3 linked regions of the Kluyveromyces lactis genome follow. The protein of the gene in region 3 interacts with the protein of the main gene of each other region in a pairwise test. Links are inferred from orthologs where the notes say so. Each region holds a gene or a part of one and is shown on either strand. Other genes may lie near its edges. The genes, in order: CCT6, BIK1 and STU2.

Evidence for each region.
Region 1: the proteins of STU2 (region 3) and CCT6 interact in a protein complementation assay, tested with the Saccharomyces cerevisiae proteins (2 studies listed by BioGRID). The link is inferred for Kluyveromyces lactis from reciprocal best matches to the Saccharomyces cerevisiae genes STU2 and CCT6.
Region 2: the proteins of STU2 (region 3) and BIK1 interact in a two-hybrid assay, tested with the Saccharomyces cerevisiae proteins (3 studies listed by BioGRID, with this or other methods). The link is inferred for Kluyveromyces lactis from reciprocal best matches to the Saccharomyces cerevisiae genes STU2 and BIK1.

The regions. Positions count from the first base shown.
Region 1 is NC_006040.1:1,555,721-1,558,915, reverse strand, and holds CCT6 (chaperonin-containing T-complex subunit CCT6), read right to left. Parts: upstream 2,179-3,195; coding exon 544-2,178; downstream 1-543. Other genes in the region: SLY1 (syntaxin-binding protein), read right to left, coding at 1-181; methionine aminopeptidase MAP1, read right to left, coding at 2,834-3,195. UniProt on the Saccharomyces cerevisiae protein: Molecular chaperone; assists the folding of proteins upon ATP hydrolysis. Known to play a role, in vitro, in the folding of actin and tubulin. In yeast may play a role in mitotic spindle formation.
Region 2 is NC_006039.1:110,920-113,518, forward strand, and holds BIK1 (Bik1p), read right to left. Parts: upstream 1,847-2,599; coding exon 626-1,846; downstream 1-625. Other genes in the region: HIS4 (trifunctional histidinol dehydrogenase/phosphoribosyl-AMP cyclohydrolase/phosphoribosyl-ATP diphosphatase), read right to left, coding at 1-264. UniProt on the Saccharomyces cerevisiae protein: Required for nuclear fusion, chromosome disjunction, and nuclear segregation during mitosis. Probably required for the formation or stabilization of microtubules during mitosis and for spindle pole body fusion during conjugation.
Region 3 is NC_006041.1:1,460,983-1,464,747, forward strand, and holds the start of STU2 (Stu2p), read right to left. Parts: upstream 2,366-3,765; coding exon 1-2,365. Other genes in the region: thioredoxin TRX2, read left to right, coding at 2,935-3,249; SER2 (phosphoserine phosphatase), read right to left, coding at 3,317-3,765.

The sequences.
Region 1 (3,195 bases), on a different chromosome or scaffold from region 3:
CTCTCATAACAGATGATATTATAGCGGTGCTCCTAGCATCCATGATCAGTACTTTCCAAACGATCTCTTGTTCATCAAGATTGCTTGTTGCTGCTTCCGTTCCTTTATCTGAATTGAACAGTAGCATCTTTTCAATAGACAGAATCTGTCTGTCTCTTAAGGACAATTCTGAATTCAGCATATTACTCTGGTATATATGTGATCCCGATGAGGTATGCTGTTCAATGGTTTGCAGTCAATGACTTCACTCTCGTCCGTACTTTCTGTACTTTTGGTGTGTCTGTTTATTATAAAGGTGCTTCCAGTTTTGATGTTTAATCATTTTTTGAAGTATATTAGTATTTCGTTTTCGGTGATGGAAACGGTATTTGGCCAACACGTAGATTTGGATCTATAGCACTCGTGAAGAGATCGCATATTACATATACATCGGCCAAACTTGAGTCTTGTACTTCGTATTTATTTCCATTTAGTATACATAATTCTATTTGATTTTGGAACCTACGTTAAAGACAGTGATATTTTTTAATTGTACCAGCTTCATTATTGTGGTGGACCTTCCTTCAATGTAGATCTACCGGCTCTGAGTAGTTCGTCGCATAGCAACAAGTTAGAGGCTATACCTGCGGCACCAGTTACTGCATTTCTGAGGACACGATAAGAGTCCCAAACACCTTCTATAGTTGGATCACAAGAGTCGCCAATATTTAGATCAACACCCACTATTCTTGTCTCATCTTCTTCCAACTCGTCTTGGCATTGGGCAAGTACATCAAGGGCATCATATCCGGAATTCTTTATTAATGTCTTAGGAATAGACAAAAGTGCGTCTGAAAAGGCTTGTACACCTGTTTTTGCTTTACCTTTGGCGCCTAGCTTGTTCATATTCGCCCTTTTCAAGTGCTGGGAAGCAGAAATGAAGAATGCCCCAGCGCCAGGAACGACAGCACTGTCTTTGATGACATTTGCAACAGCTCTTAAACCATCTCTTACTGCATCTTTGGTTTGGGTCAAAGCGTGGTGAGTAGAACCTTTAATCAAAATGGTACAAGACTTAGGATCTCTGTTTTCGGTGACGTAAGTAAATTTCTCCTCGCCGATAGTTTCCTGGTAAACCAATCCGGAATAACCTAAAATTTTAGGCGAAAGATCATCAACGGAATTTTGAGCTTCACCCCCAGTGACGAGTTGTAGTCTTTCCATATTACGTCTCTTGGCTCTTCTTAGAGCAAGAATGTTGTGTTTAGCAAGAACATCTAATGACATTGGGTCGATACCTTTTTGGTTTATGATAACAAAACCCTCTTTAGAATCCATACCACATACTTCATTCTTCAAGTCGATGATTTTTTTTAATTTCTCATCAACAAATTTTCTTTCACTAGCAGCCAACTTGTCTCGTTGGTCAGCAGAGCTGTAAAAGAAACCAGAGTTGACTTCCGTCTTCTCATATTCCAAAGAAACATTTAGAATCAAAACATGTGCATTTTCGACTCTGGTTGGCATATCAGGATGTCTTCCTCCATGATCCAAAATTAATCCTTTAACAAAAGTGGTATCCTGTGGAGATAGATGTTGCATTTGCATTATTTCAATCATGTGTAAATCTAGATTTCTGTTGTTAGGATCTTGAACAGCCAAAACAGCATCAGTGACGATTGGTGTTAAAACTTCAGTGAGTTCTGGGTTGACTTTAGTACATAAGGAACTTCTGGCAACCTGCAATAAAAATTCACGATCCAAATCCTCCTCAGCGCTCTTTTCGATTTTGAAGGTATCCAAAAAACTTAAGGTTTCCTTTCTTGCAATCTCAAACCCGTCAGTAATTGTTCTTGGATGGACACCTTCTTGAATATATCTATAAGCTTGTTTCATCAGTTCTCCCACCAAGCAGACAACGGTTGTAGTACCGTCCCCAGTAATTTCATCTTGGGCAGTGGCTGCACGAGCAATCATGACAGCAGTCGGAGACTGTATTTGCATTTCAGTCAATAGGACTTTACCATCTTTGGTCAACTTGATATTACCGGCACCATCGACCAACATTTTCAAAGTACCCTTAGGTCCTAGGTTAGTTTCCAAAACGGATTGAAGACCCTCCGCTGAAGTGACGTTGACTTTTAAAGCAGCATCTCTTCTTAGGGACTCGGCCTTTGGATTTAACAACTGAACTGACATAATTATCTTGCTTTCTCTCTATTATGCACTGCACGTAATTGGTATTGTCAAATTATGACTTTTGATCTGGATAATAAGATGCAAGCAATTGACTGCAATGAATATCACAACTAAATATTAGAGAGTATAGATTGATTTCGGTTCTATTAGAATCAACGTTGTGGACGAAAATGCAACAGTATCTTTCACTCTTTTGAATGTTATTCTTCTTCAACACCGAACGTTAGCCATAATTAAAAGCTTTACTTTCTCCATCAGAAAACTTAGATCACTGTTTTCGATTAATTTTTTTTCTTTGGAAGTGGCGAAAGCTAATGGTTACCCGGTTATTGAAGCAAAGCAACAATCCATGCTGTCGTGATCCTCATATTTATGCAAAGATGATGAAGATTATACTTTAGTAGGACCGCACATCTTCAGTATAATAAATACTAATAGTGGTTTTCAATGAGAATTCTCTAAATATTTTGGTCTTCTGTAAATTGATTTATATGATGATATGTATTGAATCTATTCACATGAAAGACTATGCCGAAATGATGTCCGTTATGACGACGATGATGGCTGTTTTATGGATTGTTTCCTATACGAAACGAGGTAAACAGTAACTTTCTCTATTGATATTCATTTTTTAACTATTGTCATTTCACTGGGTCTATTTTATCCTATTTCTTGGGCCGCCTGGAGACTTCTTGTTCCTTGCCGTCAAGACTTCAACACCATTCTCGGTGACCAAAAGGGTTTGCTCAAACTGAGCACTAACTTTACCATCCTTTGTTGAAGAAGTCCAATCGTCAGGCCAGGTGATATCTTGCCATACACCTTCGTTAATCATAGGTTCTATAGTGAAGACCATTCCAGGTTTCATGACACCGGGCGTTCTGTTGTTAGCATAATGTGGAATGCTGGGGGCACAGTGGAAAAACTCACCGACACCATGACCACAGTAAGTCCTAACAACAGAGCATTTGTTGGATTTGGAGTGCTTTTCAATGCAGTCTCCCAAGGATTGAAAAG
Region 2 (2,599 bases), on a different chromosome or scaffold from region 3:
TTCAACTAAATGAGCAGCATAATCATCAGAATCAATAAACAAGGTTACAACGCCATTATTCAATAGAACAATCAGATCATCATCCTCAAATTTTGCGTCTTTCAATAGAACAGAAATATTTTGACCATGACTATTCTGAACAAATTCCAAAATATCATCTTTAGTCATATCCTTCCCATCAAGTACTAATTGACTGGATAAGTAAAGGTAAGTCTTTTCTTTCAACGCATTGACAGCATTGAACACAGGTACAACAGGCAACATTTCTGGTGCTTTATGACTTCTTGTCTTAGGTGGACAGTCCTGAATGTAACGAAATTTGATAAAGCATGACGACTAACTTATTTTTTTTTCATATTTCATATTTTCATTTTTATATACCAGGAGGCTTGATTTTTGCAGTGGATTGTGAAAATATGATTGAACGCATATGCACTGAATTACATGAGTCATATGATGAAAAAAACACAGGAAAGCCAATGAAAACTCGAAGAAGAAGTCCGGATGCGATTGATGGACTGTAGGTAATTCATTATAAGATGATTCATTATATGATGATGCGCTAAGTATGCTATATATATGATGCAAGTACAACAATGGATATTAAAAGGGACGAATTTTGACTCTAAAAGAATTTGTCGTCGTATGGGCAATCTACTGATTCATGACCGTCTTTTTCGCAAAGAGCACACCACAACGAGCGCCCTGCAGCTGCATTCACTAAAGTTGACTTTACTTCGGCACCTGGATTGTATAACGGCAAGGTTTCAATGTTACTGTCCACAATAAGTGTATTTTCTTCCTGTTTTTTGGATAATTCTTCGACTCGGGATTCGAGCTCCCCAATTTTTTTCCTTGCATCGTCTAATTCCTTGTTGAGAGTATACTCTTTTGTCTCTGTATCATGGGATTTCTGTTGATACTCTGTCATCTCAGTAGTCAAATTTTTATATTCTTTTGATAACGACTGGTTACGGAATTGCAGTTGCTCCTTCTCTTTCTCCCATTGGACCCTATGCAATTCAGCTTGAGTCTTGTGTTGCTGTAGTTCTAGTATCTGTTCCCTTAAATCGTTAATTAAAAGGGCATCACTGTTCGGTTCATCTTGCATAACATAATCATTTTCAAGGGAATTTTTCTTTTCCTTCTGCATAATCTCGGCTAATATGGCAGCATTCCGGTTTATCTCAGATTGGAGCTCGTCTATCACAGTCAAAAGCTGATCATGTTCACTTTCATAAAACTGCTTTTGGCGCTGATGGGACGTTCTTTCATGGTCGAGTTGGTTTTGAAGTAGAACTTTCTCCTTTTCTGTGGTATCCAACTTAGTCTCATATTCATCAATTGCAGCTTGGATCTCCTCGAATACAATTCGTTGATCCTCTACTAGTCTTTTGTATTGAACTAGCTCTGTTTGTAACATTTTTAAGTCCGAGGAAGTAGTTTGCATCGGATCGTCATTCGGTTGAATGACATTTGAAATACTAGTTCGCGACTTGATTTCAGGAAAACTGTTTTGAAGAGGTTCATGATACCCTAAAAAATTTGCGTTAATCCTTACGGGAGTAGGTGATGCAGGTGGTATGGTCATATTTGCCTCAGGGTTAGAAGGTATTGGGATCAAGTTGGCGATCTTTTCCCATTGGATAAAAAGTCCACTTTGAGGGAAAGAAGTCTCAAAATACCGTCTGCCTCTGAAAGTTCCATCGTTTTTTCCATTGCCAGCAAACAAATTGATACCAACAAATGTTCCTTTCTTTGTTTCTACTGAGCCAATGTACCGTATTTGCCCTCTACCTATGTTAGGAACTTCAATTACCAGTCCTATACAGTCTTGATTATCCATCACTAGAAATAGACCGTTGGGATGTGAAACGAAGGTGTTTTGGGCATACGTTTTAAAAATTTACCAAACCAAAGAAAAATCAGGAAAGGCTGAGAAAATACTGGTAATTAAGGTATTTGGAAACGTTACCTCAGGTCTGTTACTATCGTATCTCCATAGATTAAGGATTTTAGTTTTTTGCCTATTGACTGTAAATATTGTTATTATGACAAAAGGTAAATAGAACAGAAAACTCCTTCACGTGAATCTTGACTTCCAAACAAGAAATGAAAAAGCAAGGCGAACTTCATGCGATGATATTCTGCTGAACAGCAATAGAACTAGCCGCTTCTGGTTCCTAAAGTAGTTATTCGTAATTGTATTCATAAATGATGTTCACTATTTAACTTTCCGGACGTTAGCTACAATACAGTAATTATATCATTAAAGAAAATTGGTAAACTGGTAAAACTAGAACAAGGTAAAAGGTAATAAAGAAGTGATTAGTGATGGCTTTTTTGTTAGGTTTCATTAGGGTGTTTCTTTTGAACACTGGTATATTCTAAGTGCCTCCAGGGCCATGAGTAAATCCAGAAGGATGGTTGCAATGAGTACGATAGAATAGCTGTTTTTTCTTACTTGGTGCAAAGACCAATGTGAAAACATACATTCAACGAAGAAGGTTGGAGCTGTTGGGTTTATTCAATTCTATCGAGGTGTGTTTAATATGGCCATCATAAAAAGAGCTATCGATCAGATCTTGTTATCCAAGTT
Region 3 (3,765 bases):
GGGAATTGACACGTCTAGGTAGATCGTCGCTACTTTCACTAGGCGATCTGACCCTTTGAGGAGTCGTAGCATTTTTAGTAGATCTCAGAGGTGATAAGGTAGTTGCTGTTAATCTTCCTCTGCTAATGGACGAGGATATGGGTGAATCTGTTGACATGGTATCGGAAGTACCGCCCGTCAGTTTACTCTCTAACTCCTTGATCTTTAAATTCTTAGCGTTCAATTGATCCTTCGAATCCTGCAATTGCCTTTGTAAATTGGAAACGTATGTCTCAGACTCGTTCAAGAGTTTATTTACTTTGGAAAGTTGTAAATTGGATTGATTTAAGTTGGATAAGAGATCGTTGCGCTCCCTTAGCCATTCTTGTCTCTCTTGTCTTAATTTGTTCACTTCATCGTTTAAATGTGACATTCTGTTGGATATGTTTGTCTGTGGTGTGAAATTGCCAGAGAGGCTTGTGTTGGAACTGGTATTAGATTTGGGTTGTGTTGAGGAAGGCAGATCCGTATGGTTCATCATTTGATGAGTAGTTAGAGACCTTGAAGTCAACCTGGACGACTTCGTGTTGCCATTCAAGGCAGAGTTACGTGCCGGTTTCAATGGAGAAGTGGCCAGTCGTTTTGAAGGGATCGTTGAAGACAAGGGTTGGGATCGTACTACTGGTGCCGCTGATCTTAATTGGGTTTGCGGTTGGGTTTGGTGTGGAGGTGGAACCGTTGCCGCCTTGATCTCCACTTTATCAACAAGTTCAAGGATCTTCTTCCTTTTCAAGTTATCGAGCTTGTCCAAATATGTTGATAGTTCTCTTTCATCGAATATCTTAATTAAGATAGCAATACACTTGAAACCCTCATTTCTTGTTGCCTGTTGATTGTCGTTTACAATGGGCTGCAAAGAATTGAGTATCGCTGGCAAATTGGAGAATACCGACGTTCTATGAAGAGTTTCAGTCGGTGTCCAATTGGATAGCAACTCGAAAAGAAATTTCGAGCATACAATTTTTACCTGTGGTACTTTGTTCTTCATGTGTTGTAACACAGACTCGAGACATAGCTCTAATTTATAGTACTTTGAAAGGTTCAGGAGAGCATTGAAAATAGAATCTGCGACGTTTGGTTTTTTCTCCTTTGATCTAGTTAGGAGAGCGTTTAAAGTTTCCAATGCGAATGGGTTATATTCTGATCTTAATGCGGATATTAGTATATCTAAACTGCTGGTAGATATTTGTACTGCTTGTAGGTTTGCATCGGAAGTGATAGTCGAGCAAAATTTGTGAATGATTTCAGAATGATCTTCATTTGATGCTGACAATTTTTTAACCTTGGTTAAAGTCTGATCGTGGAACTCTTCTAAAGCTTCCACTCTATCCTTCCATTTGCTAGACGCCAAACTCTGATAGAAATTATTCGGTAGCTTATCTAATATAGTTTGTACGGGGAACATATCATATGGATCGATTGATTGGTTATCCAGAGCAGCGGCAGACTGGCCGTTATTACCTGCCATTGCTAGATCTCCGTCATGATCCAAGGGTAAATCAGTTGAATTGTTATCACTCTGAGCCGGGACTGCCCATATAAACTGAGACGGTGTTGAAGAAGGCGGTATAGTGCCCTGGTACGATTCAAACAGTTTATCCAGGTCCTTCTGTTGTATGGGCTTCAACTTCCCCAATAGAAGCTCTTGAAGTACAGGTTTATTAAACCATGTATATAGTTGTAAAATCAACTGCATTGACTCATTCCTCACAGATTTATCCGCATGTGAGCAAAGTTTAGGTAAAACTTCCACTAGACCCTGTAACGATTGCATCTTCTCCTGTTGAGAAACGTTCACGAACCCAAACTGCTCTATCAACTTTACATGAACCATTAACGCTGCAGTCAACAGCTTCGGTAATTTTTTGGTCCAAATCGGCGTCAGACAATTGATTGCATTTACGATATTATCATCCAATGACACGACAAGCGAAACGCAGGCCAATGAAGCCTCTTTCGTCGCTGATTTCGAGGAAGTCATACCTTTCTCCACCAGAGCTGGAACCCAGCCCTGAACCAATTGACCCGGCTGACACAAATCTCTGATCTGGGGTACGTCGATCATAAATTTCAACAAACTGTACAAGGCCTTAACGGCAGATTCTTGTGCAACAACATTGGAATCCAATACGTACCCCGTGAAAATCTCAGGTTTCTTCCAATACTTATTAACGCCACTCTCTGCAACTCTAGCAACGGACAGTTTATTGAATGTGCTTTCTAGCTCATTATATCCATGCTGTCTTGCCTTCCAAAGCTTATGAACAAGTCTCTCATCTAGTGACAGAGTCTGAAAAGACGCCGAATCATCCGTAGCGTTATCCATGGGAGATATACACACGCGATACAGCTGGCAGCACCCTGTGTTGACTCACTGACCGTCTATTTTATTCATGTTGTCTCGTCTGTTTGTTTGTTTACTGGTTGATTTTGATTGTTTTTGTTTACAGAAACGATTGATTTCAAGTCATGTGATATATCACGTGACTTTGTTGATATGCTTTGGATCGGGTTTGCAGAAACCTGAATAATGGGAGGGTAGGATCTATTATACACGTACACGCCCCTCCAATCACTCAATCGGCGCTGATGCGTGTTGGTTGAACATTATACAGTCAATTCAAGCCATTCAAAACACCGTTACACGAGTGTTGGCGCTTCCACCTGCTTACAAATGGACGGGTTCTAGCTGATTCCAGCTCTCGATTCCTGATTAGCAAGCAAAAATTTGTCAAAAACTCGATATTTAACCAACATTATTATATAAAGGAAGTAAGATACATTTAAAGGTTATTTAGTTGTCTCTTCGATTGATTATCGGATAATCTGATAACTTTCTATCCTCATCAAATAAGGTACAATTTATCTTTACTATCCCCTCCAATTTCATATATAATGGTCGCTCAACTTACTTCCGCATCCGAATTCGAAAAGGCTTTGACTGACGACAAGTTGGTCGTCGTCGACTTCTTTGCCACCTGGTGTGGTCCATGCAAGATGATTGCCCCAATGTTGGAAAAGTTCGCTAAGGAATACGAGGGTAAAGCTACCTTCTTGAAGGTTGACGTTGATGAGTTGCCAGATGTTGCAAAGAACAACGATGTCAGTGCTATGCCAACCCTAGTTTTCTTCAAGTCCGGTAAGGAAATTTCTAGAGTCCTAGGTGCTAACTTGGCTGCTATCAAGCAAACCATTGCTGCTAACGTGTAAAATTTTTTGTACACTGCTTATAATATACATTTTACTATATATATATCAGAATAAATTCTTTACATTTCTATTCTTTGATCATGGTTTCTATCTCCTTCTCAGTGTGCCCCAGGATGTATAGGACGTCTATCATTGTATCACTGTTTAACTTACATGGGGCTTGTTCTTGGACCTTTGGCTTGGCGTTCCATGCGATTCCGAACCCAGCTGCGGCCATTGCGTTCAAATCATTACCACCATCTCCGACCATGACGGTGGATTCGATCGGAGAATTGTACTGTTCTGCAAGAGCCACCAACGTCTTGGCCTTGCGCACTCCGTCAACTATATCGCCGAGTGCTTCACCGTTCAATTGTTCAGTACCGTCATCCGACACTTCCACACCCAGAGTATTAGCCAATGCAAAATCGAAGTTTAACTTTTCCTTAATGTAGTTAGCAAACGGGATGAACCCACCACTTAACACTGCCAATTTACAACCTTGGGACTTCAACGCCCTCGATAGCTCTGGGACAC